7 linked regions of the Canis lupus familiaris genome follow. The protein of the gene in region 4 binds, or shares a complex with, the protein of the main gene of each other region. Links are inferred from orthologs where the notes say so. Each region holds a gene or a part of one and is shown on either strand. Other genes may lie near its edges. The genes, in order: TAF6L, YEATS2, MBIP, TADA3, TADA2A, TADA2B and DR1.

Region 1 (4,228 bases), on a different chromosome or scaffold from region 4:
TTGAGTCCCGTCGTGTCCCCCCCCCCCCCCCCCCCCCCCCCCCCCCCCCCGCTCTAGGCCTGGGAGGATCTTTTCTAGAAGCAGCAGCATCTAACCCTGAGAGGGAGGAAGGGTGAGGATGTGTACATTCATGCTTTCCCATGGGATACTCCTTTTTTTTTTTTTTTTTAAGATTTTATTTATTCATGAGAGACAGGGAGAGGTAGAGAGAGAGGCAGAGAGAGAAGCAGGCTCCATGCAGGGAGCCCCATGCGGGATTGGATCCAGGCATCCCAGGATCACGCCCTGAGCTGAAGGCAGACGCTCAACCCTCAACCGCTGAGCCACCCAGACGACCCGGGATACTCCCTTCTGTAATGAACAGCCCATTGCAAACCACCTCATCTTGGATGAACATAAAGGAATTAATTCACTGTCTGCCACGTGCTTTCACAGATATTATCTCATTTAATCTACAGTAATCCTGCGGGGTGGGTATTAGTACCATTTTGTAGTTGAGTGAAAATGTGGTTAGGTAATTTGCCCCAAAGCAGTGACAGAATTTGAACCCAGGTTGGTCTGACTCCAAATACTGTAACTTAACTCACTAAGCCCACTTGGTTCTTTTTTTTTTTTTTTTTTTTTTTAGCCCATTTGGTTCTTAATTGAGAACTAACTGCCCAAGTTCAGGAAAGTGTGCGCGTAAAATGGCCAAGGAAGTCTGCTAGTCAGGTGAGGGGCTTATAGTTGGCTTACTGAACAGGAGTGAGGATGCCAGGAGTGATGTGCCAGGATGAGCACAGCCCTGGAATCTGCAGCTTGCACATGAGCTTGGGGCAGTGAGAAGACCCTTCTGCCCGAAGAGAATACCTACTGGGAAAAGGAAGTGCAGGTGATGGAGAGGTAAGTTGAGCTCCACCAAGCGGGCAAAGAAAACCGATTTAGGCGCCAAAGTTTAAAGTTTCGCTGCAATTGCGTAAATGCAAATACTCGGAAACTCAGGAGCAGACAGGACCAAGAGAATGGGGACGCTTTCCTTGACAATACGCCTTTTTTTTTTTTTTTTTTTTAAGATTTTCTCTATTTATTCACGAGAGACATAGAGGCATGCAGGCAGAGGGAGAAGCAGGCTCCATGCAGGGAGCCCGATGTGGGACTCGATCCATGGACTCCAGGATCACACCCTGGGCGGAAAGCAGGGGCCAAACCGTTGAGCCGCCCAGGGATCCCCGACAATACGCTTTTGAAACATACACGAAACCATAGGTACGGACTCGAAAACCCCCAAGCGCTGTTGCTTTAAGAAGCCCGAGTCTTCAGTGTCACGTGACCCCTGGCGCCCAGATGCTTTTACAGCTCCTTCCAAGGACCAATCGCGTGGCGGGAAGCTCCCCGGGAGGGCGGGAACTTTGTAAGGCGCTCGCCGATTGGCTGTGCTCTTGGAAGGTGGGTCCTGGGCTCGGAGAGAGGGAATTAGGGTGAGCAGGGCGAGTGGGAGCAGCCGCCGCGGCGGCCGTCTCGGAAGCCTCCTTCGCCGCGCGGGAGCCCTGTGGTGAGCAGGTCCTCGCGGACCCGAACACTCCTCGCCGCCCTGCGGGCTGCGCACTCAGTGGTCTTAGGGCCGGCGCCGCGGGGGTCCGCCCCCTTCGCTGGCCACGTGACCCAAGTTCCGTAACCCCTGACCTCCTCCACCCCACTGCACCTCACCGCTCAAGTGGTAAGGATGAAGCGAGGCCCGGGGGTAGGATGCGCACCCTCGACGCGGGTGGCGGTCGGTGCCCACGCTCTTTACAGGGTGGCTCGTGGCTGCGGATGCAAAGAGGAGGCTGAGGAGGGGGGACCTTGGTCATTAAGACTTTGTGCGTCTTAATGTGGGCCCTAGTAAGGAAGCTCCCTCTGCGCTTTCCGCGTCGGCAGGACTATTTACTCGCATTTTACAGATGGGGAAGCAGAAACTTCGGGATTATCCATTGGCGGGTCTCCAGCGCCAAGTCTTCGGGCTGGGAATCCAGGCCTTGTTCCCCGGCACAGCCCGCCACTGCTGATGGTTAGGAACAAGAGTTGAGTCCCTGCTCCCTACTTAGTGCTTGCTGGATGATCTTGGACAAGTCATTGAGTATTTAAGCTCTCTGAGCTTTGATTTCCTTGGCTGTGAAATAGACATGGCATTTACATAATACGCATCTCATTGTTAATGAGGATAAAATGAAATATACGCCGTATAGAGCACTTAGCTCTGTGCCTTAGGCATAGCATGTGCTTAGAAAAAAAAAAAAAAAACACAGCTTTTTTTATTTGTTTTTGTAGCCAGTGTTTATTGAGGGCGTATTATGTGCTGACACCGTGCGGGACGCTGGGGATGCAAAGGTGAGCAAACAGGCATGATCCTAGCTGGTGTGGAGCTTACGGTCTAGTGGGAAGGTAGGTGTTAATCACAAAGCTATACAAATATGTAATTACAAATTGCGGGGGAAAAAAAATTGTGATCACTACTGTGAAGGCAAAGTATTGGGGCAGCGTGGAGGTTTGAGAAGACTTCCTGAGCAAGTAGTGTCATTTCAACTGAGATGTGAAGGAGCAACTAGGAGTCCACTAGACAGAACTGGGATGGAGGAGGAGGAGAGTGAAGAAGAGCAGTGTATGAACATCCTGATAGCAGGTGTTTTGGGGAAATGGAAAGAGGCCATGGTGGGAATGCAGAGCACAAGAGGGAAAGAAGGGTTGTAGAAGTAAGTGGACACACAGGACCTGGGAACCAGGTTTGTTCTTTTATTATTTTTTAAGATTTTATTATTTTTTCAAAGATTATTTATTTATTCATGAGAGACAGAAAGAGAGGCAGAGACATAGGTAGAGGGAGAAGCAGGCTCCATGCAGGGAACCTGATGTGGGACTTGATCCTGGGACTCCAGGATCACTCCCCGAGCTGAAGGCAGACACTCAACCGCTGAGCCACCCAGGTGTCCCACTTTTTTCTTTTTTTTAAGATTTTATTTATTTATTTATTCATGAGAGATACAGAGAGGCAAAGACATAGGCCAAGGGAGAAGCAGGCTCCCTTGCAGGGAGCCTGATGAGGGATTCGATCTCAAGACCGGAGGATCACAACCTGAACCAAACGTGTCCCTAGGTTTGTTCTTTATTTTTTATTTATTTATTTATTTTTTTAAAGATTTTATTTATTTATTCATGAGAGAGAGAGAGACAGAGACACAGGCAGAAGGAGAACCAGGCTCCCATGCAGGCAGCCTCACGTGGGACTCAATCCTGGGACTCCAGGATCACGCCCTGGGCTAAAGGCAGTGCTAAATCCCTGAGCCACCCGGGCTGCCCTAGGTTTGTTCTTTATTCCAAAACCAATGCAGAGCCACTGGGAGGAATTTTTTTGTTTAGCGATTTTTACTTATTGGAGAGAGCGAAGGAGAGAGAGAGAGAGAGCAAGTGAGCAAGCATGAGCTAGAGGAAGGGCACAGGGAGAGGGAGAAGCAGGATCCCAGCTGAACAGGGAGCCCAATGTGGGGCTTGATCCCAGGACCCTGAGATCATGACCTGGGCCCAAGGTGGATCCAAAGGCAGCTACGTAACTGACTGAGGCACCCAGGTGCCCCCCTTTGTTGCGTTCTTATTCTGCCATTTCCTGCGAGCGGAAGAGCAGGTTCCTGCTCTTAGGCCTTGCAGCCAAACTGGGAGATAGTCCAGCTCTAAAAGCCCGATAGTCCTCGGTGGCATATGGGCAGGAAGACCTTAAAGGACAGACTGGATTTGCCTTGCCAAAGAGGCTTGGAGGAAAGAGGGAGACAGACCAGCCAGAGCTGGTGGTGAGCATGGGGCAGGCCGGAGCACACTAGGCTGGGCTCACTGGGAGGAGGGATCCATTCACTTGAACAGCTGTGGGGATTTGGGACCAAACACAGAATTTCAAGCTGGGGAGTTTAGAGTTTCTTTTAGAATCAGTGGGGAAGGGATCCCTGGGTGGCTCAGTGGTTTAGCACCTGCCTTCGGCCCAGGGTGTGATCCTGGAGTCCCGGGTCCCATGTCAGGATCCCTGCGTGGAGCCTGCTTCTCTCTGTCTGTGTCTCTGCCTCTCTCTGTCTCTAATGAATAAATAAATAAAATCTTTTTTTTTATTTTTTTTATTTTTATTTATTTATGATAGTCACACACAGAGAGAGAGAGAGAGAGAGAGAGAGGCAGAGACATAGGCAGAAGGAGAAGCAGGCTCCATGCACCGGGAGCCCGACGTGGGATT
Region 2 (4,199 bases), on a different chromosome or scaffold from region 4:
AACTACATGTTTTCAAGATCTAAAAGGACTCTTGATAATCAATTCCCAAAAGTGATAAACACAAAAAGATATACACAGGATACAGAAAATCACCAATGGCAAATATATGTTAAAAAATGTTCAAACAAACAAACAAAAAAATGTTCAAACACTCTAGTAATCAATGAATGAAAAATTAAACAAGACACCATTTTTCACCTACCAAATTTAGTTTGGGAGCAGATGGAAATAAGGCATCTCGAAAAAGGCCCAGGTTTTTCTAATCCACACTCATTATCTTCCCTTCCTCAAGCCCCAATCAATTAATTATTCCAATCCCGTTTCCATCTCCCACTTCTAGAACTCTGGATAATAATAACAATGACCAGAGGTGCCTGGCTGGTTCAGCTGGTGGCACATGAGACTCTTGATCTCCAGGTTTTAAGTTCAAGCCCCACGATGGGTGTAGAGATCACTAAAAATTTTTTAATCTTAAAAATAATAATACCAATAACAAAACCAACAACCTCCAAATCCAATTGAGCATCTCACTAAACATCTCAAAGTCAGGGATGGACATCCTCTATCCTCTCTGAACTTATTTTTCCTGGCTTCCATGACACCTTTTGGTCTTCTGCCTTTTTTCCCTACCTCATTGGCTGTTTCTTCCATTCTATGTTCAATCTTCTTCCCATACTGCAGCTCGAAGTATTAGCGATCAAGTGTCAATTTTCACTTCTCTATCTATATTCTTTCCCTTGGTGATCTCATGCAGTCCCATACCTTTCAATATCATCTATGTAATGAATTCCAAAGTTTTATCTAACAGCTCCTAGCTCTCTCTTCCATGAGCTCTAAACCTGCACATCCAATTTCCTCAATATACCAACTTCATAACTGATATACATCTCACATTTAATATACCCAAAACAGAACTCGTGATTTTTCCCCCTTCAAGTTTCTCTTCCATTCTTCTCCCTCTCAGTAAATGTCACTATCTACCCATAGCTGCTCAAAACAACTACCAAAAAAAAAAAAAGAGAGAGAATTCTTGGGGCATCTGATTAGCTCAGTAAGTAGAGGATGCAACTCTTGATCTCAGAGACCTGAGTTCAAGCCCCAGGATGGGAAGAGAGTTTAACTTAATTTTAAAAAATATATAAAAGGGTGCTTGGGTGACCGAGTATGTTAAACATTCGACTCTTGACAGTTCAAGTCATGATCTCAGGGCCAAAAGATAGAGCCCCACTTCAGCTCCGCGCTCAGCAGAGTGTCTACTGGAGATTCTCTCTCTCTCTCTCCTCCCCACCCCTGCCCCCTCCTCCTGCTCTCTAGGACTCAAGCAATCCTTCTCTCTCAAATAAACAAATCCTTAAAAACACATTAAAAAAAAAAAAAGTAAAGAAGTCTCCTATTTTCCCACTAACCCACTCACAAGTCTTGTTCATTCTACAACCAAAATAATGTTTAAATCTCTGTACTCTTCATCTCGCTGCCACGGACCTAGTTCAAGGTACTGCAAACAGCATCCTAACTGATCTCCCCGCTCCCATATTCACCCTCTTCCTCTACAGAGCAGTCAGATTATGCTACCTGCCTTCTTAAAACCTTCAAAGGATTCGTATGAAAACTAAATTCCTAACCAGGGCATTATCTGCCCCACTATCTTTGAAAGAATATACAGAACCAAAAATACGCAATATCTCGAGGCAGCAGAACTATGAATACTCTTCCTCATTTTGCTTGTCTATATTTCTTCATTTTTCTATGATGAATACTTGCTATTTGCTTATTAAGAATAAAGGATACTGCCGAATACTGTATATTACATCTCGTTTTAACACCATAAGGAGAAAAGAGAATGGAAAATTGTAAGTAAACTCTAATTGCAACTGTTACAAGCTCAGATGAAAATACCAGCAAACACATCCAGAACACTAAGAAAGAGGTGTCAGGGCCGTGGGGTTATTTGGTGATATTTTCCTCCTCTACTTTCTATTCTTTACCCTGATTACACTCACGATAGAAGACAAGGTTATGATATAAACCTCATTCATTGTCTTTTGCAATCCGGCCACAACCCACCAAACCAGCCTTTCCTCCAAGTCCTCACTTTCCCAAGCTTTCCGCTGTCACCCCGCACTGTGTCACGCCTCTGGTGCTTCTAACTGGAGCGTATGCCTGGAAAATCCTCCAACCTTTCTAAATCCCACTCATCCTTCGCGAGGGAGGACCGTAAGGATGGCGACAGGTTGGAAGCAGACTCCGCGGTGCCTGTCGGTAAACCCACAACTTGCCGGTGCTGGAGCCAAATCTCGTCTCCGTCTCCACCGCAGGCCACCGAGCCCAACAGGCCGAGAGCTCCAGCCCCGGGGGTCCCTGACCCCGCCGCCCTCGGAGAGCGCTGAGCCCCGAGGAAGGACCCCACACACGCAGCTGCAGGCTCCCGCTCCGGAGACGCCCCCGACCGGCACGCTCACCCGGCCCGCTCCCCGCGGTGCTCGGCGGCCCGCAGTCGCCGGCTCCCTCCCCCTCCCCCGCCCGCCGGGGCCGCGCGGCGGGCAGGGTGGGGGAGGGGAGCGCACGTGCCCGCGCCGCCCCCGCCCAGACAATGCCCGGGAGAGCGGAGCGCGCGCCCGGCCGGCCCGACCCCGCTCCCGCCAACACTCACCCTCTCCCGGGTCTCCGGCCGAAGCGCAGGGCCCGCCGGGCGCGGCGAGAGGGCACGAGGGAGGTGCGGGAGCGGGCGAAGCCCCGCGGAGCCGCCCCGCCACGAGGCCCCAGCGACCCCGGAGCCCGCGGAAGCACACGGCTCGGCGGAGCCCGCCCGTCCGTCCCTCTCGGCCTCGCACGTCAGCACCAGGGGCGGGGCGAGGCGCGCGTGCGCGGCGGCGGCGGCGGCGCGCGCGCGGCCCGGGGGCGGGGCTTGCAGGGATGTGGGCGGGGCCGGGGCTCCCGCGGGGGCTGGGCCCCGCGCAGGGCTGGAGCTGGGGTTGGCGGCGGCCGGACTCTGATGGGGACTGGTGCTGCCGCACTGCCTGGGGAGCCTGGATGCCCGTTCTGGCAGAGGCACCGTCATTTATCATATTCCTCCCTAGAAGATGGCGAGTTCCAGCCTCCGGTCTGACAGACCGATATTCATTCTCCCAGCGTAGATGAACCTCCCACAGGTCTAAAACAGTAGTAATGATTTGTGTGTGTTTATCATCTTGTGCCAAGCTTTGTGTTAGGTGCTAGGGATACGGATAACAATAGTTATCACTGACCTATTATGCAGATGCAGAAATTGAGGCTCGGAAAGGTTGGGACTTCACTAGTTTATACAACTAGTGAGTGACCATCCATCAAATCCTAAGTATCTTTTGAGCCCACCTTTCCCTTTCTTTCTTCCTGTAACATCCTGCCTGAGGCCTCATCATCTCTCTGCCCAAGACTGCTGCAGCTCTCCAGGGATCTGTCTCTGTCTTCCTTCAATCTGTTCAACTCACTGTGTAAAAATTTACCCCTGGAGCTGAGTAGTAGGTTTAGAGAGAGTTCACTTATAATTTTTTATACTATTTATGTCATCAATTTTTTGGATGTACTTAAATTTAATAAATTGTTCTAAAGAATTTAGCATGCATGCAAAAAGTATTTGTTGAAGGGTGCCTAGGTGGCTCAGTGGGTTGAGCATCTGCCCTAGGCTCAGGTCATGATCCCAGAGTCCTGGGATGGAGTCCACTCCCTGCTCAGCAGGAAACCTGCTTCTCCCTCTGCCTCCTTCTGCCTGCCACTCCCTGTGCTTATGCTCTCTCTCTGTCAAATAAAATCTTAAAAAAATAAAAAGAAAAAGTATTTGTTAGGGGCACCTGCCTAGCACAGCCGGTTGAGCCTCCAACTCTTGGTTTCTACCAAGGTCCTGATCTCAGGGTGGTGGGATAGAGACCCTCCTCAGGCTCTGCTCATCAGAGAGTCAGCTTGAGATTCTCTCTCTCTCCATCCCCCCCACCCCCACTCCACCCTCATCTTCCTCTGCCCCTCCCCCTCAGACAAGCACATGTGTGCAGTGCGTGCTCCCTCTCAAATAAATAAATATTTTTAAAATACACATTTGTTGAATAAATGAATAGTAAGGCCAAGAACTGACTCCAAAGCTCTGCATAATAAGGGAATTGAAGGGTTATTAATATATCACACACAACCCAGATGCCTGGGTGGCTCAACAGTTGAGTACCTGCCTT
Region 3 (4,202 bases), on a different chromosome or scaffold from region 4:
GTATTACATTAGTTCAAATACTGATGTTATGAGTTGTGATTCTAATAAAACAAAAAGATGAATCACTGTACAAAGAACCAGAAATCCAAAGTTACCCAAAAAAGGCAGTATACTTAATGAATACTGTATGACAAAAATTTACCACCTTTTCCATGAGACAAGAAACATTTAAAGTCTGTATCAGACAACTATAAAGAAATAAGAAATTTTGGATAGGCTACACTGGCAGAGATTAGATTATATTAACTAAAGTTTTACATTAAGATTACTGCATTAATCTTAGTTTATATTATTTAATTACTGTACTTCTACAGTCCTCTAAGAGATCTACAGTTCCTAACAAATTTATAAATAGAGTTTTGGGATAACACAGACAAATCCTCAACTAAAGTAAAGCATCAAATTTCCTAAAGAAAATAAACAAATAAAATAAATCTTAATGTTGGGATCATATTCTCCTTTCAATTCAGCATAATTATGTAAGCCTTTCAAGCACAATTAAAGACACTTGGTTTTTTTAAAGAAAACTACATAATGATACAAATTAACTTTAAAATTATCATAATATATCCAACTATTTATTCAACAAATTCCCTATTAGTAATACGAATTCGATGCATTTTTACCCTTTATAACTTGTAAACGTAAAGCATTCACTCAAAAATGTATTGGTGTGACATTAATATGGACTATTTAAGTAAGCATTTTCCATAAAAAATTAGTATGAAACTCCAAGCTAACAATAAATAATGCTTCAACTTGGTAGAATGAGCCATGCTGTGGCAAGCAATAAGGTTAAAATAAGTAAATTTGAAATCTGGGATACTTTTTAACATTCAATTTTATGTTTCCTATTGAGGAGAGCCAACAATATAATGATACTATGCAGAATGAAACTAGGCATATTGAAACTTACTTTTTTTTTTTTTGAAACTTACATTAAAAAAAATATCCTATAAACTTGTTGCAAAAGTACATAGTGATTTCCTCCAGGGGCAATTTTATAATATTGTGGCTTTCATTCTTCCCTTTAAACAATACATCTCAAAATATAAAGACTAATATCAAAATAGTATTTAATTGATGAGACAATGATTTAATTTTTTGACACCTGTATAGATGGTCCCTTCAATGTGTCATGTAAACTTTCCAAATATGTACTCTCAACATTTTTGACAGGTGACATAAGTAAACTTTAATCACAAAATACGCGAATGTTTAAAATCTGTAAATGAGTTTTAAAAATTCAGTATGCAAAAATATTTCAAAAGAAATGTTTAAATTATTTCTTAATGTTACTTTAAAAAATTTATCACCACTGAAAATAAAACTGTAAATTACAGGTAAGCATAAACTTTTTTCATCGTGACATTAAAATATAAATAAACCTTAAAATTCCAATATCCAAGACAGAAAACGTTCTCAGACTTTTAACCATTACAGGTCTTGGGTGATAAGACTAAAATGTTAATGTCCCCAAGTCTTTAAAAAATTTTAATAAGTTGGCGGCAAACAACTGAGCTCAACAGTTACAACTTTTAGCAGATTCTGTTAATAATTGTTCCGTTAGACCAAATTAAATGTTTAACTTAGAGTAATGCTTTTTCTAAGGACAAACATATTAGGATTTTTAAAAATACTGAAATAACCTTTTAAAAAATTAATTCTCCATCCACTCACGGCTTTTAAAAATAACTTTTTACAAACTAGACAGGTGTTGTTTTCATAAACATTATCCTCGACATAAATGTTTGCTGTGCCTACTACATGCACTAATACCAACCCCATAACAAACTTTTAGAGTAAAAAAATATTCCGTCTAAGATACAAAAGATTTCCTTTTTAAAAGCAAACAAACTTATTTTCAAGTTGTTTATCATTTGTAATATGCTTTGCATTTTATTTCATGAAACAGTTGACTTGATTGAATAGTGTAAGGAGTACTTTTATTTAAACCCAATTTATTATGACATTTCTGCAGAAGCTATTCATCAGTCAGTTAAATTAGCTAATAATTAAATGACAAACAGTTCTGATGCAAACTCTATCAATCATGGATAACTCATCGAATTTTATGCAAGAAGTATTTACATTAATTCCTTTCATTTTTCCTCCCCATATGAAAGGGTAAGAGATGCACATGTAACAACCAGAAGGAAAAAAAAAAAAAGAAAGAAAACCAAGTGACTCCTAAAAGCAAATCAACCCCCCCCCCCCCCCAAAAAAAAAGCGGAGAGAGCTTTGCCAAAACTCTCAGGCCGTTACTTCTATCAATTTCTATCACAAATTCACTGAAGGATAGGGGATGCTGAGCGCCAGGCACCCTCCAAACCCACAAAGCTTTTTACGCCTTCGCTCTCTCCAAGCATGTTCTTCTGGGAGCCAGGTTTTTCACTTACACTATCCTCTCACTCTTGGGGAGAATTGCCAGCCCGTACGGCCTTCCTCGCTCCGACCGCAGCTAGGCTCAGGCTCCTCCGCCGGCCTCAGTACTCAGTCCCGGTCCCCGGCAGCCCTAAGCAGCCCCCCGCCTCCGCTAGAGGAAAAAAGGGGGGAGGGGCCGGAGAGTTCCCAACCCCCTGCTCTGCTCCCACAGACCACCACTCACTTGTCCCACCAGGCTATGCAGTGAGCGAAAGATTTCGCGGAGCACCTCTTGGGAGAGATTGGGGCTGCAGCTCCGTTCCGGACTCCTGTCACCACTGCTCGAGAGGCTAAGCTCAACGGCAGCAGCCATGACACCTTCGCAGGCTACCCCCGCCACCACCGAGCTGTGCTCACAACACCCGCCCCCCTCGCCCGCCCGCTTGCGTCGCCGGTAAATGACGTAAAAACACAGCGTCTCGTCCGGCCCGGGCCTTCGAGGACCCTCGTGACTGACAAGCCGGTGCGCCAATCAGGTGCAGCTGGAGCGTCACGCCAAGGAGCCGGAGCGGGTAATTGCCGACCTGGCGGAGCTGCGTACGGAATTTGGGACGGTGATTGGGGCGGTGGTCTAGGGAACGTTAGCGTCTGAAGCCTGTCTTGTGTTTTTAGGTGTTGCTTATGAGTGTTGAAGAGGAGACTTAGACCTAAACGTCAGAATTTTAGAAGTTAAAATTTTAGCTTTTAACATGGCGCTGTGGAGTGGTCTGGACAAAGATTGCTGTTCGGGGGTGCAGCAGGGCCCACACCTCTACACCCTGGAAAACTCTTTCACGTACGCTTGTATTTAGAACATTTTCACTTCTGCAAAGTTTAAAAACTTACACAAATTAACGTGACTAATTTTTCATGTGAGGGAGCAGAGGCTATAAAAGAACAATAAAATGCTCTACTGTTCCTGCTGTACTATCAATGGAAGAAAGGACATTAATTACTTTAAATCTGCAAAATAATTATGTCAAGTTTTAAAACGTGCATCAGTTGCTATTCTCTGAGTGATACTGTAGAGACACTCACCTAAACCTTTCAAAGAAGTGAGACACTCAAAACGATTCTAACAGTTTAATTCAAATAAGTAATTGCATGCAGCACAATCTTTGAAATTAGAAAAAATAAATGCGAATTGAAATTTGACAGCGTATTACTCATCAGATAGATTTATTAAAAGATATTTGAAGTACTTTTATAGTCCAACATTTAAAAGCTTTATGTTCAATTGAAGAAAAGAACAAAGGTTAGAAGAATTTTAAATGTTAAGCTCTATTAAAAAACAAAACCCGTCAGTTCAGAGATTAGGGACAAGGTATTTAAAATTCTTAATTCTAATAGTCTAATGCATTTACAGTAGAGGAAGCAAAGGTAGAAACTTGCACAATATGTATTCTTCAGTTTTAGAGTAGGCTGAATGAAAAGGAGCAGAATAGGCATCAGAGAACTGGAATGGGGTCAGTAGGGATAAAAGAACGCCTTTGACCTGTCCCTAGGGAGCCTCTTAATTAGGCTTTCATTTCCAAAGATCACCAGGCTTGACAGGATCTTGAGAAATCTTGTCTGTTCCCTTGTTCACAGCAAGATATACAATTTATAATCCAGCCTATGTCTAGAAACATCCAGAAAAAGATTTCACAATATATAATCCCAAATTGAGCAGCCTTCTCATTCAAGGCACTCATCTCCATCTCTAATTTAAACTCATGATTCTTTGCAATGCTGTATATTTTCTTTGCCTCTGGTTCTCTTTTTAGAAGAGAATAATTATAACAGGGTAACTAGAAAAA
Region 4 (4,111 bases):
CTTATCCTGCCAGTCAGTGAGGATCTGAAATTTACGAGAGACTATCGCTGAGAGGAAGAAGAGAAGTCATAGGACAAGTTTTTCTCCCAATGAAGAATTAGGATTTAGAACTTGACAAGACGCCAAGGTCTTTTTTATTTATCCATCCCCCTTTCATTTAGTAAACTCCTACTCACCCTTCAAAACTCAGTTCCTTTTCACAGGACTTCATTCATACACTTCTCATCATTCCATTTGTCTGGACTGATTCACCTCTATCACCTAAGCCAGTCACACAGTGTTTAGGTCAAACTAATGATCATGCCCCAGTGCATATCAGCGCTGGAATATGCTGGTGGTAACTTTTTGATGAATGCAAACAAGACTCCCAGTAAACCTTCACTTCAAATGTCACAACTGGGAAGCCTTCTCATCAGTTACCCAGCCTCTTACACGCTAAAATACAACTGAATTTGCCCTGCTCAAAAAGCTTCAGTGCACTCCCATGGACCACAAGATAACTATTCATCCTTTGAGGACCTATTAAAATGGCATCTTGGTCCCCTCTGAGTCTCTGACACTTTGTACCAGTAGAACTGTTGGCCTAAATGTGTTGTTTGATCATACTGGAACGAACAGCATACCTTGTCTTTGTAACTAGACTATAAGCTACTGGAGACCAGGACATTCATTTTAACTGCCTCTGTTCCCCAGGATCTGGCATAGCATCTGGCACACAGGGCTCAGGGAATGCTTATGTCGTAAACAGAAATATCAGAGTAGTATCGATAATTAGCATTTGAAATACTTAGTGTCAGATGTTGGGCTGAGGCTTTTGCAAAAAACAAAACAAAACAAAACAAAAACCTCTCTTTTAATCCTCACAGAAGCTCAGAGATAGCTCCTATTATTCATCCCAGTTTGCTGATAGGGAACCAATGCTCAGTGACAGGAGGCAACTTTCCCAAAGTCACATACGTAGAAAAAAGTAATACTAAGCAAGTGCTTAGGCCAGGATTCAAATCCAGGTCTTCTCAATCCAGTTTCCCTAGTACTTTTAACCATAACACAACATCACCTGGTATCTGTCTGCCCTCCCCCCGCCTTTGAGTTAGCAAACTCCCTAAAGGCCAGAAGTGTCCTCATTACCTCTCTCTAATGACTAGCAGAGGACCCAGAACATAACGGTGGGGTGCGGTGGGGTCAATAAATGCTTAGCAAATCAGAAATCTTGCAATTTATGAGGATCATGCACGTTCTTATATATTCTATGCATCACATGAGCGCAGTGTGGGTCTCTCCTTACCCCTCTCTCTAAGCTCCTGTATCCCGGGCCTCAGTGGGTAGGTGCTAACTCAATGATCTAACCCGTAACTTGTCACAGTCCACCCCTGGTGATAACCTCTCTGCAGAGTATCACCTGGGTTTCGGCCTCGAGAACCCGCAGGCGCCGGCTGGCAGAGGAAAGCAGGGTCTCAAGCTCCAGCTGCAGAGTGTCCAGCTCTTCAATGCCGATGCCATCATCCTCAGAGCGGGCTAGCACAGCCGTGTAGCGTGGACAGACCTTCAGGTGGTCCACAGACTTGAAGTCATGGAACTGCAAGGGGCAGTCCTTCAGTTCACTCATGGCCCAGGATACGGGACCCTGTGGAACTGGAGAGGAGAGAGCCATTGATAGGAGAGAAACTGGCACGAGAAAAGTCCAAGAGCTCCCTCCATCCAGGGACAGACTCCAGGAGAAAGCCAGGCTTCGGTACCTAACTACAAGATTGATGGCGCGGCTCCTACTCACAGGACACTCGCTGTACATCAAGCCAGGTACAGACACTTTACTGGCTTCTCACTGAATTCCTCACCCAACCCCATGAGCAGGGACAATGGCGACCTACACCTTACAGATACGAAAACTCAGACTCTGTAAGGGTGGGTACCTGCCCACGGTTACCAAGAGGCAATCTGAATCCAGATAGTTTTGAGTCTTTGCCCTGTCTTTCTGATGCTCTTCTGTCCTACTGCTCCCGGGTCTGGCTAAGCCTCTAAGCTCCAAACATCCCATTCTTACAATGCTAATGTTCTCTGTGCCTCCTCGCTTCTTCTCTCACCCCCTCCCGTCGTGGTCCCTTTTCTTGGCCGCTGACAGTGGTTAAGAATATGGGCTGGTAAGCCAGGCAGGCACAGCCTTTACCATTCTCTAGTTATGTAGCTCCAAACGTGTTATTTAGCCTTCCTGAGTCTCGGTTTTTCCATCTACAAAATGGGGACCAAAGAAATCTGGGTCTGTCTCCCCATAAGAAGTCTGAATCTGTAAAATGGGGATCACGATAGTACCTACCTCCCCGGGATGCTCTGAGGATTATGAAAGGATGCTTGTCAAGAGCCCAGTTCAGTGCCTGGCACAGAAGTGCGCCTGTTTAGTGGCTGGCCCCTCCTGCGGGTCGCCCCAGTGACTTGCCTTCGGGGCCCCCGTCCTCTGGGGACCCCCTAACGCGGCCCCCGCCCCCTCTACCTCCTCACTGCAGCCTCCTGCTGCCTCCTACGGCCCCCAGGCCACGGGAGGGGGCGGGGAGTTCCGGTTGGTGGAGCAACCGCCCCGGAACTGGCCAGGGGCGGGCCCCCCGCAGAGGACGCGGGGGTGGGCGACGCGGGCGGGAGCCCACTGCGGCGTGCGGGGAAGGGTGGGCAGGCCGCGGGCGAGCCTACTGCAGGTGGGGGAGGGCTCGGCCTCAGGCCCACTCTGGGGATCGGCCCGAGGCTGGGGGCGGGGCCCGGCAGCCAAGCCCTCCGCCCGGCAGCTCTTCCCGCGGAGCCCCGGGGGCTGCAGGTAGGAGGGGCCCAGAGCGAGGCTAGGGGCGCAGAACCGGAAGGAACGGAGGGCTCCTCCGCCTCGCCTTGTCCTAATATGGTGCCCAACCTGAGGCCGGGCCGCACCACTGCCCGACTACGGGGCACGACGAGAGGAGGGCCAGGGCCGCAAGCCAGAGCTGCGTGGATAACGGCATGAGCTCCCGCATCGATTCGAAAGTTCCGCAGTCTAAAGATGTGAAGACAGTCCTAGCGGGGAGACCTGCCAAGGACCGGGGGCTCCCAGGCTCCCCCTCCCCGCTCGGGCATAGTGGTCCCGTCCGGAAGTCCGGGCGCAGACCGAGGCTGCGCCCCTCGCGGAAGGGCAGGCGTCGCGGGCTGGCCACTTCCGCACTTCCGCTTTCCGGCCCAGCCAGCGCCCGCGATGGTGAGCGAGCCGGGCCCCGCGCCAGGGACCCCCGCTGTTTTGCCTCAAACGCTGTGGGTCTGGGGGCGAGGCGGCTTTGCAGCGGAGAGCCCCGGGGCCGAGGGCTGCTGCGGGGTGTGGGGGCATGATGAGGCTGGGAGGAGAGGGCGGGGCGGGAGCCCAAGTGAGGAAGGGGCGAGCGGGGGGCGCCCCGGGAGGACGCAGGCCTCGCAGGTTCGTGGTTTGTCTTTCGGGCCAGGTGGGGAACTGTGAGGCGTCGACAGGACGCCGGGAGTGGGGCCTGGGAGGTCGGCGGGAGAGCCTTGAAGGCACTCAGTAGGCTTCCTCGCCCGTAGTAGGGCCGGCGTAGCAAGGGCGCCTCACCCAGGGTAGAGCTTTGCTAAATACACTGTCCTGTCCTCTCCTGCCCGCTTGACCCCACAGTTTTCCAAAGGAAGCGTCTCCACTTCCTTATCCCACTCTTCGCTTACTTCCCTGCCTTGCTTCTGCTCCACGGAAGGATTATGCCGCCGCCACCCAGACCTCTTCCTGGTTAGAATTCCACCGTGTTAACCTTAACCATAGTACGAGAGCTCTGTCCTACGGATCCCTCCCTTCCTGGAAATCCTCGCAGCTGATACATGTCGGTCTTCCTGGGAGTCGAGGCTTTGGTTCCCCACCTTCCTCCTCACATTTTCCCTAGTGGTGCCTGTCCATTCCCGGCTTCCATGACCTTGTGTATTCTGGTGGTTCATGAGTCTGCCTTCCTAGCTCTCTTGTAGGGTTTGCCTGGATATCTTGAAGACACCTTCAGATCACACCTTCAGATCGAAAATCATTTTCTCTCAACCAGCTTTCCCCATGTTGCTTATCCTGGCTTTGTGGCATCTTACCTCAGCTAGCAGTCTGGATTTTATTTTATTT
Region 5 (4,281 bases), on a different chromosome or scaffold from region 4:
TGCAACATACTCAATTCTACCACATTCTAGCTTTGCAATGCTAAGCAAATTATTTTGTTAAATTTTAAGGGTTTTTAAAAAAGATTTATTTTAGAAAGAGAGTACATGGAGGGGCAGAGGGAGAGAGAGAAAAATCTCAAGCAGATTCCCCACTAATCTCAGAGCCTGATGCAGGGCTCAATCCCATGACCCCAAGATCATGACCTGAACCAAAATCAAGAGTCAGACACTTAACCGACTTAGTCACTCAGGCGCCCCTATTTTGAGTTTTATTTAAGTAATCTCTGCATTCAATGTGGGGCTCAAACCCATGACCCCGAGAAATCAAGAGTCACACGCTCCTCTGACTGAGCCAGTAAGGTTCCCCAATTATTTTGTCTTTATAAGCCTGTATTCCCTCTGTAAAGCGGGTATGAGAAATAGTATCTACCTCCTAGAGTTACTGTGAGGATTAAATATCAAAATCCATATAAAAATGTACCGTGGTACCTGGCCCCTAGTAAGCCCTGCATAATGGCTACATATCTCTAATAAACAATTACTGTTTTTCTCTATCTAGTATCACTTCTCTCCTTAACCCTTCTTTCCTTTGGGAAACTGACTCACCCGCATTTCATATGGTCCTGGTGGGATTACCAATCACAATTCTGTATACCGCACCCCCACAGCTAAAGCAACCAGATCTCTTATGAAAATCCCAGTCTTGAGTAAGACGTACAAGGGCAGAAGGCAGTTGGATCCCAGTTATTCACTAATCAAAGAATTTGGTCCATGAGCTCTGGCTATTGAGATCCCCACCCCCAAGGGTGGCCCAACTGTTTAGAGTTTTTTCATTTACCCTTTTTTTTCTTTTTAAAGATTTTATTTATTTATTCATGAGAGATAGAGACATAGGTAGAGAGAGAAGCAAAGCAGGCACCATGCAGGGAGCCCAATGCCGGAGATGAACCCGAGTCTCCAGGATCAGGCCCTGGGCTGAAGGTGGTGCTAAACTGCTGAACCACCCAGGCTGCCCTGAACAAATATTTAATGTTTGTACAATATACAAAGTATTTTCTTAAAGGCAGAAATGAAATCCTACTTCACCCTAACTCAAGAAAACATCTCTCCTTCTTCTATAGTCCCACAGCTTCTCTTTTCTGGCATCACAGTCTACTTTGTGAAGATTACTTCTGAATGCATATTTTTTTCCCCATTTCTAGACTAAATGAAAGCAGGGACTACTGTCCAGCACATATCCATATGTATCAAAATGCCAGAGAAAGAACTCAAGAAATAAAATGTAATGGACAAATGTTAATTTTACAAAAGGTTAATTCATCTTTAATTCTCCTGGAATGACTTCTTTCATCTGGCGTGCTGAGCTGGGAGTATAATTCACCATTAAGTCTATATGCCATTCAGATAACATTGCTGTCAATGAACTTGTCTTTTTAAGTGGGCTGGGATAGGATGCCGTCCTCTAGTCCTAGGAAAAGTTAGTCTTTGAAGAAAAATGGGTTTAGCAAGGGGTATTATGCACTCGTTAATAAAATAATGGCCAAGGGCAGCCCCGGTGGCTCAGCGGTTTAGCGCCGCCTTCTGCCCAGGGCCTGACCCTGGAGACCCTGGATCGAGTCCCATGTCGGGCTCCCTGCGTGGAGCCTGCCCCCCCTCTCTGTGTGTGTGTGTCTCTCATCAATCAATAAATAAAATCTTAAAAAAAAAAAAAAAAGGCCAAGTGAACTTTACTCATGTGCCAGGTACTGTGGAACCACTCACTGTATGCGGATTATCTCTCTAAATCCTCACAACCAAAAAATAATAATTAATAAATAAATAAATCCTCACAACCTTCCGACATGCTGCTTTTTTTTTTTTTTTTGCTTTTTCAAATAAGGAAATGAAGCTCTGAAAGACAGGTACTTGCACAATGTCTTAAAGGTAGTAAACAGCAGCGACACTTCAACAGAGGTTAATACTAACGGTCAAGTAATGGATGTATAAATCCTTCATGTCATAAGCACAATATTGCAATAAGCAGAACTTTTTTTCCTCTCCTTTCTCACAAGAGACATTTCTGACACTAATATCCATGAAAGGATGGGTGGTAGCTCCAAATTAACATCTGCCAAATTCAAAGTCACTAGGAGGAGGAAGGGAGGCACCGCGAAGAACCGCCTTCGCTGTGGTGCAGGGGACAGACAGGTGCAAGGTCCGTAGTTTTGCAGACGAGGCTGAGCTCCTCACTTCGTTCCTTAAGCTGTATGATCTTGGGCAAGTCATTTTTCCTGAGCCTCAGTCGGCCTCAGCTCCAAAATGGAGCTGAACTACCCAGTGTTGCAAGGCCTACTTGAAAACTCGAAAAAGTAAACGTCGGTCAGGTGCAAGACACAGGGCGGCTGTTCCCGGCGTAATTAGGCGCGCCCCTGCAGACACAGCAATCCCGAGGCCGGGGCAGCGCAGGGCCGCCCAGGGGGCGGGGCGAGCCGGGGACGCCGAGGGGCGGGCCCCACGGGTCAGGCCGGGCCCGCGCCCCCCTCCCCCAGGCGTGGCGTGGCCCGGCGCCGCAAGCCCGTCCGCGGGCCCGCAGGCCGCGTTTCCCCTGGGGCCGCGAGGGCCCGCAGCCCGCCCCCTCCCCTCCCCCTCCGCCCCTTCGCCGTGCCCACCCCGCCCTCGGCCGCGAGAGGGGCTCGCGCACCGCCGCCACCCGGCCCGCAACGCCTCGTGCCTCACCTCACCGCGTCCCCTCCTCCGCGCCGAGGAGCCGCCACCCGCGCGCGCGCCCCCGGGGTGCGTGCTCGCTCCCGAGCGGCACAGGCGCGAGCGCGTCGCCGCCGCCCCTCCCCGGCCCTCGCGGCGCCGCCGCCGCCGCCGCCGCCGCCCCCTCGGCCCGCGCCCCGGCCTCGCCGCGCGCCAGCCGCGGTCCTGTGGCAGAGGCCCGGGGGTGCTGGGGCGGAGTGAGCCGCCTGCCTGACTGAGTCCGGGCGGCAGTCAGTTTTGCGTGAGGCGCGTTGGCGGTCGCCAGAGGCTTGCCGGTGCGTGGCGCCGTTCGATCCGCTTCAGAGTGCGGTGAGGTGGAGCGGGCCGGGCCGGTTCTGTCCTGCTTTTGTGTTTCTAACTTTCCCACCCCCAACCCTCTCTGCCGCCCCTGTTGCAGCGAAGGCAGCTGAGGCCACGCGGGTCTTGCCAGTGCTGCTCGTGGATTAACCAGACTGACTGACTGGTGTAAGGGTAAACAGGGTACGTTTTACTCAGATGCTTCTGGAACGTCGAAATTCTCCTCTTTGGAAAGAACCATCATCCCCTCTTTGGGCTTCAGGGGCCCAGATTGAGGCGCGATGATGACAGGATGTGGTGGTCCACTCTGATGTCAATCTTGAGGGTTAGGTACGTCCCAACGTCTCTTATTACTACTACTAACTATTATAATAGCTGCCATTTGTCGAGTATTTATTTCTTGCATGCCAGAAATTGTACAAAGGAGGTCACATCCTTGGTGTCATGTAATCTTCAAAAACGACCTTATGAGGCAGGCACTATTATTACCCCCATTTTCCAGGTGAAGACATTTAGACTGGCTTATAAGTAACTTGGGAACACACGGCTAGAAAGTGTTGGGGAAAAAAGAAAAAAAAAAAACGAAAGTGTTGGGGAGGGGATTCAAGCCGTGATAATCTTCACCATTATGCTGTTACACCTGTTTAGAAGTCTTTCATAAATGTGCCCAACCTCGCTTTGAATTCATTTGCATTTTCTGCTGGTATGGCCTCTTTATTCATCTTTCAGTATACGAATGCTACAGATTTGTGCTAAAAAATAATCAGAACATTCACACAAGTGAAAATAACGTGAAAGCCAGCTCTCACCGTTTTAAATAAACAGTTAACACTTTGGTATACTCTTCCAGACATTTTCCTGTGTATCATGTCAGTAGATACAATATAGTGTAGTTTTACATTCGATGTATCCTGAAAATCTATTTAGTCATTTAGCCAACAAATATTTAACGAGCGGACACTTTTCCAGGTGTTGAGAACTCAGCGGTGAACAAAACAGTCTCTGCCTCATATAATAGTGGGGGGAGATTGATAAGAAACAACATACATATTACTAAATAATAGATCATGCCCAGTAATGTGGCAAGTTTTATGGAAAAAAATAAATCAGAATAAAGGGATGAGTGATGTGGGCATGGTCCACTGCATGCCAGCCGGGGTCCTGTGGCAGAGGCCCCAGGAGTTATAGGGCGGACTGAGCAGCCTGCCTGACTTGAGTAGATGAGGTAGACAGGGAAGGCTT
Region 6 (2,346 bases), on a different chromosome or scaffold from region 4:
CCATTGGACAGCCTGTGTCAGCCTGGGCCACTCGTTTACAGGGACCTTGTGCTTCTCAAGCTTAAGTTGGGCAACCATTTCATAATAAAATACCAAATTGAGAACCTCACCAAACCAGGAACCTGATGGAGGAAATAGGTGAGCGACAAGCCCCGGAGGAGCTACAGCTAGCGCTGCTCAACCAGCCAGCATCCCAGCGGCTCAAAGGCCCCCCACTAAGGTTTGCGAGCGGGTTCCCAGGGCAGAGACGCTGCTGGTCTAGGAAGCCCAAGTGAGAACCACTGGCTAAGACCCTGTAAAAACGAAGTCCCGTCGCCATCACCACTCAGTGGCAGACCCAACCGGCACTCTGGGGACAGCAGCTACCCTGCAGGGGGACACATGGAGGGGCCTCAGGAGTCCTACCTCTGCTCGCTGTTTCTTCTGTCAAACTCCTGGGCTGAGCTAACCAGGAACACTTCCTGCCAGCATGCAGTATACTTTACAACTAAAGCCACAGACAAGGTATTTGAAATGTTTTATTTAATGCTGAAAAATTTACCCTGGGGGACAGGAGGATGTAAAAAGAAAGGAAAAGGCACCTTAATTAAGTCCTTGGAAATGATGAGGGTCTTTTTGTCTTTCAAATAACTTCACTTTAATTTCAAGCCCAAACATTCTGGGAGGTAAACAGTCTCTTGGTCGCTATGGGGCAGGAGCTGCAGGATGAGCTCCCCGAAGAATGGGAGTGCTGGGGGTCTGTAGTCACCCCAACTAAAGTGGGATCTTCACCATGAGAACCAACCCTGAGCAGCAGGAAGGCAAAGAACTGACTCAAGTTCTAGAAGGAAGGTACCGTGTCCCCCGACAGAAGAGGGCCCCTGCAGAAACAGTAGGGCTGGGCGGAAGCGGAGTGGAAGCTGAGGGATCCAACACCGAGACCGGAGAAGCCACACACAGTGCCTCACCCTGAAGGCTCCCTTCCTGCTTGGCCAGAGCCTGCTGTGGGGTAGCCCAGTCCAGCCTGGCTGGGCTGCAGAGAGCACTGCACACCCCCTGAAATACAACGCTCAGCCAGGCTTGCAGGGAGAAGGCTAGAGCTTCGGTGAAAAAGGTTATTGCAACCACAGTGAAAATCCTGGAGGAAGTGGACTCCAGAACTCAGCATTCCACTTTCTAAAATGAGTTCTCCCAAGTAAGTGGGGTACTTAGTCCTGTAAGTATTAGGAGCAGCAAGCAGCAGCCCCCTGGAAAGCTGGCTCAGAGTTCTGGAGCCCCTTCCACATACTAGGGAGCCTGCCCAGAGGCTGGGTGCTTGCCTGAGGTGAGCCTGCAGGCTCTACCCCCTGCAAAGGAGGCAAGGGGCAGTTTGGGGCTCCAAAGGACAAGCTCCAGCTTCTCAATGCCAAGAGTCAGGGGGAAGCTCACGTGGACACTTCAACCTGACTCTTCCTCTAAGGCTCCCAAGGAAACATCCTGTGCATCCTGTGGTTCTCCAGCCTCACCTCCCACCTGCCCCACCCTGGCCCCCACCTAAAGTGCGGCGTGCTGGGGCTGTGCTGGGGTGTCCGGGGGGGGGGGGGGGGGGGGGGAGGGGCCCAGGGGTGCCCCCGGCAGCCAGCCAAAGATCATGTCACAGGGTCAAGCTGGCTACCGGGGCCGGCGGAAAGCTGCCCCTTTTACCCGCAGCCCAAGAGTTGCGTACCAAAGGGAAGACACGAAATGACCCAATCTCATAATAGTCCCCAAACTGAACATGTAAAGGCAAATCGTCATCTTAAGGTATGACTTTTGGACTAAGTTAAAACATACATATGTCGGCTTCCCCCATGATCCGACATAAAATCGTTACTATTGCTTCTTTCAGAGAACCAGGAAAAGAATTTATAGCCTAAAAGAAAGGAACTCGCTTTGTTTAAAAAAGGAGCAACAGTGGGGGGAAGCATGTTCCCTCCCTCGCCCGGGTCCCTTGGGCTCAGAGCGCCTGGTGGCTGCCCACAAACCCACACTTTCAGGACGCATCCCTGGATATCCACCCACTCTCTGTGAGGAAGTTTAAAATCCTTTTCTTTAGGACTTTGTCCAAATAGCTTGGGAGGCGGCTCTTGGAGGGGATCCCCTGTCGCTTCTGGAGGTGGTCCTTGATAATGATGGTCTTGACGGTGACATAGCGCGCGGGGCTCAGGTTCAAGGAGCTGCAGAGCACCTTCTCGCGGTCCGACAGGAGCTCAAAGCCTGGCAGGTTCTCGATGGCTGCAAACTCACCGTCCTTGCCATCCTCCTTGCCCCTCTTGGCACCGGCGGCGCTCTTGTTCTCCTTCCTCTTCTCGCGCTTGTGCCGGGCCGCCTCATACTCAGCGGACTCCT
Region 7 (4,148 bases), on a different chromosome or scaffold from region 4:
CCAGCAGCCAACGTTCAACACACCATGAAAAGGGGCTAAGCGGGAACCTCTTTAGCGTGGCTCACTGTCCGCTCTACTACATGGGATCTTACTTCTAGTTTCTGGCTTGGTTATTAGCAAGTCACTTCTCTGAAGGTTTCATTTCCCATAAAACAAGAAAATGGGTAAAGGCCCATAAAGAGCTTTGATCCGAACAACGTCTGTTAGGTGTCATCACAAAAGCGTTTCCTCCTGGCGATGTAGACGGGCACACGACGTTCTGCTTTCCCGACATCTCGTTCCCGAGCCCGGGCCTCCTTCTCTCAGCCCCAATTTGGGCTCCTAAAAGGAGATGAAATCCGGCGCTCCCTCCTCAAACAAGGCTGGGGGAGAGCTTCGAGGCCACAGCTGGTTAAGGGGCGGCGGAGGGGACCCACCCTCGCCCCCTCCCAAGCCGGGCGCGGCAGCCCGAGGGCCGGCGCGTGGCGGGCCGGCGCGTGCCGAGGGGCTCCCAGGTACCAGCGCGCGCTCGCCCCGCTCCGCTCCCCGCGAAGGGGCAGGGTCCCCGGGCGCGTGCAGAGACGACGGCAGGCGGAAGCCGCAGGCGGGGAGGCCGGACCGTTCCCGCCGCGGGCGGGTGGGGGAAGGGCTGCAGCCACACCCGGAAGTCGGTCTGCGAGGGAGAGGGGGGGCCGGAGGGGGGGTGAGGCTTCCGGTAGCGCAAAGGGTGTCGGGAGAGGCTTCCAGCAAACCTTCTTCCTTGGCCTCTGGAGGGACCACCGTTGCCGCGGCTTCGGCTTCCACGATCTGCGTTCGGGCTAAACGGCCACGGCGGCCGCTACTGTCGCTCCCCTGGTGCCCGGCTCTGTCCGTACTCGTTCCCGGGCGGCCGCCACGGCTCCCGCAGCGGCTGCGGCCGACATGTTGTGAGGCGGCGGCGCGGGTGTCTGAAGGATGGTTTGGCTGAGGCGGCGGCAGCGGCTGCTGGCGGCGGCGGCAGCTGGGGCTCCGGCTCTGTAGCGCCCAGCCCGCTGGGTGGCTGCCCGGTACCGCGGTGAGGCCAGTGCCCCGGACCTTGCCTCTCCTCAGGCGCGGTTGGGGACCGGTTAGGCGACAGCGCCCGCTCCTCGGAGGAGACACGAAGGTGGTTCCCCAGTGCTCACATTTCCGGACCACCTTGGCTTTCTCTCCGACCTGGACAGCGCTGCCCCGACCATCCTCAGCACCCCGACCTCCTTCCCGGTCTCGCCCTAAAAAATCTCTCACACGGGTGTTCCCCACCCTCACGAACCGGCTCCTCCCTACCCCCCACCCCCACCCCCACCCCCCTTCATTCTCCGCGCTCCTGGGATCACACTTTTGAGGGCAGCCTTTTGAAAATTCTTCGCGGAATAGTGGACTAGAGCTGGGGAGTTTTTAAAAGTCGGGGCGCGCGCGAGAGGGAGCTACGATGGCTTCCTCGTCCGGCAACGATGATGATCTCACTATACCTAGAGCTGCTATCAATAAGATGATCAAAGAGACTCTCCCCAACGTCCGGGTGGCCAACGATGCCCGGGAGCTGGTGGTGAACTGCTGCACTGAATTCATTCACCTTATATCTTCTGAAGCTAATGAGATTTGCAACAAGTCGGAAAAGAAGACCATCTCACCTGAGCATGTCATACAAGGTAAGTGGTACGTGTGGGGGTTTTGTTTAAGCGAGGGTCGGGGACAGCCCGCGAGTTGCGGGACCCATTCACGTCAAAGCCTTCATTCCTCTCCCCTACATAAGTACTGGCAGACGAAAAAGCCACGCGGGCATGGAAGCAGCCGATGCCTTGAGAAACTCCTGGGTAGTATTCTCGTGGTGGTGCTTTTCATCCAGCGAATACACGTAAGGATGGCAAGCGTTTAGGTCAGCCAACATCCTCCAGGGATAAAGTATTAATTGTCTCGGTTGACGGCCAGGTAAGCCGAAGCAACAAGAATTTTGCCTGCATGCCTGCCTAAAGTGGAACCTAGACGTGACGACTGAGAAATTGTCTGCCTAAAGTGGAACCTTCGATCACAACAACTGAGAAAGGAACACAGAGAGTTATCCCTTGGAAAAGGAAAAATCACACGGGAACTTCCAAGGATGAGTGGAGACAGCACCCCTTCCCCATGCGGTCTTTTCAGCAATGTAGAAGAAAAGATGAATTTTCTGAACACACGAGTAAAAGAATTCTTAACATAAATGTGTTCAACGTTGTAAAGTTTGGTGATGTTGAATAAAGACAGTATGTTTTCTGCTTTAAAAATGGTTTAGTGGTCCTACCATGTTAACCAGTCTTCTTTCCTCTTTCCTTCTTTTTTCACTTTCTTTCGTAGTTTTTTTCTTTTGTGTAGCTTGCTTTGCTCTATGGAGATAAATTTTTAAAGCTTGGATTGAAAGGTTGTAAAAGATATTTTTCATGGAACATTTCTCTGTCCTTTCTTGCTGCCTTTCCCATTTAGCTGTATACACTTAAGCTTTTATTGAACAGCATTTTTGGAAGTTTCAACCCTTTCTTATCTTGGAAAGGATTTAGTCCAATAGTAAGGACGTGGGGGACCACATTCTGATGGTTTGTTTCAGGCTAGGGAGACATATTTACTAGTCATAATGTTTTGAGAGCACATATGCTCTTATGGGAAAGTTGCATTCAATTTGAGGCGGTAATTTGCCTTTTATAATAATTCAATTAAAATCTAAAAATTTTTTGATTGCTTTTGAAGTCAGAAAAAATGATTAATTTTAATCATATTAGTGGGCATTTATTTTTTATAATTTTTAAATTTATAATTATTCTTAAATTTATAATTTAACTTTTTAGAGGTGACTTTCCTGTTATTCTGAAGTAGAGAACACATCTGCTCGTATTTACCATCTCCAATATTTTACTATCAGTATTGACAAAAGAAATGATTCATTTTTGGTCCTTAATGATGTGTGGAAGATAGATTTAAGTATACTCTGCCATTTCCATTCCTGTACATGAGGAGAAAAAAAAAATCTCTAGGAAAAACCATGTTTGATTTTAAAGCCAGTGTTTTCTACTTGTTTGGTGTGCTGAACACTCTGGCAAGTACAATGAAAGTCAAGTTCTCTATTTTTTGTTTCGTGTTTTATTTTTACATTGTGTGTACTATTGTCATAAGTCTTTCATAAGGTTATCCAACACAGATAGCTGTAATTTCCTCTTACAACTCGTAAAAAAGAAAAAATCTTTTATCAACATTGCCTTTCTAATGAAAATTGCACAAGATTTCTAAAGGATGTGCTTAAACATTTGTTTACAACACAGAAGTGGGGATTATTCCAAAAATCTAATAACACATTACGGTCTGTCTTCTTGGGTAGTTTATTCTTTTCTGGGATATATTTAGATTTCTGATTGACATGATGGAATAAAAGTGCAGCTGTAGTGAGCAGTATGCTAACTAGCTCAACTTTGGAATATGCTAAATTCAGTTTAAGATGTGAGTCAGAAAGTTCCAGTGAAAGCATTTTCATTTTCCTTTGTGTACTGGGGATGATTGATTAATTTTCTTAAAAAATCATCCATTGACCTGTTTTAGTCTTATAAATTTACCCTTTTTTTTTTTTTTTTTTTTTTTGGTAACATTGCTGTTAAGTAGAAAAGGACCTACCATTTTTGCCCCAAATTCTTCTCCAGTTAGGGGAATAAAATTTATACATTTATAATCTTATGTTAATCTCACATTGCGTAATCATTTTAAAGAATTTTTGTCTTGAGTGGTTACATTTTTAAAAAATGTATATATATTTTTAAAAAGTGTTAAAAATGTATTTTACAGATTAACCCTGGAAAGCTTGCAAAAACATGGAAGTTACAACATTTTTTATGCTTTTTGTAAGCATTAATTATTTTGGTATGTAGGATGTATCCAAATGGAATAATTAGTACATTTAAAGTTGTATGAGGGATCCCTGGATGGCGCAGCAGTTTGGCGCCTGCCTTTGGCCCAGGGCGCGATCCGGGAGACCCTGGATCGAATCCCACGTCGGGCTCCCAGTGCATGGAGCCTGCTTCTCCCTCTGCCTGTGTCTCTGCCTCTCCCTCTCTCTGTGTGACTATCATAAATAAATAAAAATTAAAAAAAAAAAAAAGAAACCTGGATGGGTTATCTTAAAAAAAAATTAA

The links.
Region 1: TADA3 (region 4) and TAF6L share a complex: the UniProt entries of both Homo sapiens proteins name them as parts of the STAGA transcription coactivator-HAT complex. The link is inferred for Canis lupus familiaris from reciprocal best matches to the Homo sapiens genes TADA3 and TAF6L.
Region 2: TADA3 (region 4) and YEATS2 share a complex: the UniProt entries of both Homo sapiens proteins name them as parts of the ADA2A-containing complex. The link is inferred for Canis lupus familiaris from reciprocal best matches to the Homo sapiens genes TADA3 and YEATS2.
Region 3: TADA3 (region 4) and MBIP share a complex: the UniProt entries of both Homo sapiens proteins name them as parts of the ADA2A-containing complex. The link is inferred for Canis lupus familiaris from reciprocal best matches to the Homo sapiens genes TADA3 and MBIP.
Region 5: TADA3 (region 4) and TADA2A share a complex: the UniProt entries of both Homo sapiens proteins name them as parts of the ADA2A-containing complex. The link is inferred for Canis lupus familiaris from reciprocal best matches to the Homo sapiens genes TADA3 and TADA2A.
Region 6: TADA3 (region 4) and TADA2B share a complex: the UniProt entries of both Homo sapiens proteins name them as parts of the TFTC-HAT complex. The link is inferred for Canis lupus familiaris from reciprocal best matches to the Homo sapiens genes TADA3 and TADA2B.
Region 7: TADA3 (region 4) and DR1 share a complex: the UniProt entries of both Homo sapiens proteins name them as parts of the ADA2A-containing complex. The link is inferred for Canis lupus familiaris from reciprocal best matches to the Homo sapiens genes TADA3 and DR1.

What each region holds. Positions count from the first base shown.
Region 1 is NC_049239.1:54,427,953-54,432,180, reverse strand, and holds the start of TAF6L (TAF6-like RNA polymerase II p300/CBP-associated factor-associated factor 65 kDa subunit 6L), read left to right. Parts: upstream 1-1,428; 5' UTR 1,429-1,696; intron 1,697-1,919; 5' UTR 1,920-2,039; intron 2,040-2,286; 5' UTR 2,287-2,338; coding exon 2,339-2,346; exon of another isoform or gene 2,347-2,400; intron 2,401-4,228. UniProt on the Homo sapiens protein: Functions as a component of the PCAF complex. The PCAF complex is capable of efficiently acetylating histones in a nucleosomal context. The PCAF complex could be considered as the human version of the yeast SAGA complex.
Region 2 is NC_049255.1:16,824,624-16,828,822, reverse strand, and holds the start of YEATS2 (YEATS domain-containing protein 2), read right to left. Parts: upstream 2,801-4,199; 5' UTR 2,651-2,800; intron 1-2,650. UniProt on the Homo sapiens protein: Chromatin reader component of the ATAC complex, a complex with histone acetyltransferase activity on histones H3 and H4. YEATS2 specifically recognizes and binds histone H3 crotonylated at 'Lys-27' (H3K27cr).
Region 3 is NC_049229.1:15,070,287-15,074,488, forward strand, and holds the start of MBIP (MAP3K12-binding inhibitory protein 1), read right to left. Parts: upstream 2,801-4,202; 5' UTR 2,738-2,800; coding exon 2,609-2,737; intron 1-2,608. UniProt on the Homo sapiens protein: Inhibits the MAP3K12 activity to induce the activation of the JNK/SAPK pathway. Component of the ATAC complex, a complex with histone acetyltransferase activity on histones H3 and H4.
Region 4 is NC_049241.1:8,521,967-8,526,077, reverse strand, and holds the start of TADA3 (transcriptional adapter 3), read right to left. Parts: upstream 2,801-4,111; 5' UTR 2,312-2,800; intron 1,633-2,311; 5' UTR 1,607-1,632; coding exon 1,400-1,606; intron 25-1,399; coding exon 1-24. Other genes in the region: ARPC4 (actin-related protein 2/3 complex subunit 4), read left to right, coding at 3,206-3,208. UniProt on the Homo sapiens protein: Functions as a component of the PCAF complex. The PCAF complex is capable of efficiently acetylating histones in a nucleosomal context. The PCAF complex could be considered as the human version of the yeast SAGA complex.
Region 5 is NC_049230.1:37,152,784-37,157,064, reverse strand, and holds the start of TADA2A (transcriptional adapter 2-alpha), read right to left. Parts: upstream 2,801-4,281; 5' UTR 2,716-2,800; intron 1-2,715. Other genes in the region: ACACA (acetyl-CoA carboxylase 1), read left to right, coding at 3,332-3,369. UniProt on the Homo sapiens protein: Component of the ATAC complex, a complex with histone acetyltransferase activity on histones H3 and H4. Required for the function of some acidic activation domains, which activate transcription from a distant site. Binds double-stranded DNA.
Region 6 is NC_049224.1:59,645,413-59,647,758, reverse strand, and holds the end of TADA2B (transcriptional adapter 2-beta), read right to left. Parts: coding exon 1,991-2,346; 3' UTR 501-1,990; downstream 1-500. UniProt on the Homo sapiens protein: Coactivates PAX5-dependent transcription together with either SMARCA4 or GCN5L2.
Region 7 is NC_049227.1:56,206,242-56,210,389, reverse strand, and holds the start of DR1 (protein Dr1), read left to right. Parts: upstream 1-1,348; 5' UTR 1,349-1,429; coding exon 1,430-1,649; intron 1,650-4,148. UniProt on the Homo sapiens protein: The association of the DR1/DRAP1 heterodimer with TBP results in a functional repression of both activated and basal transcription of class II genes.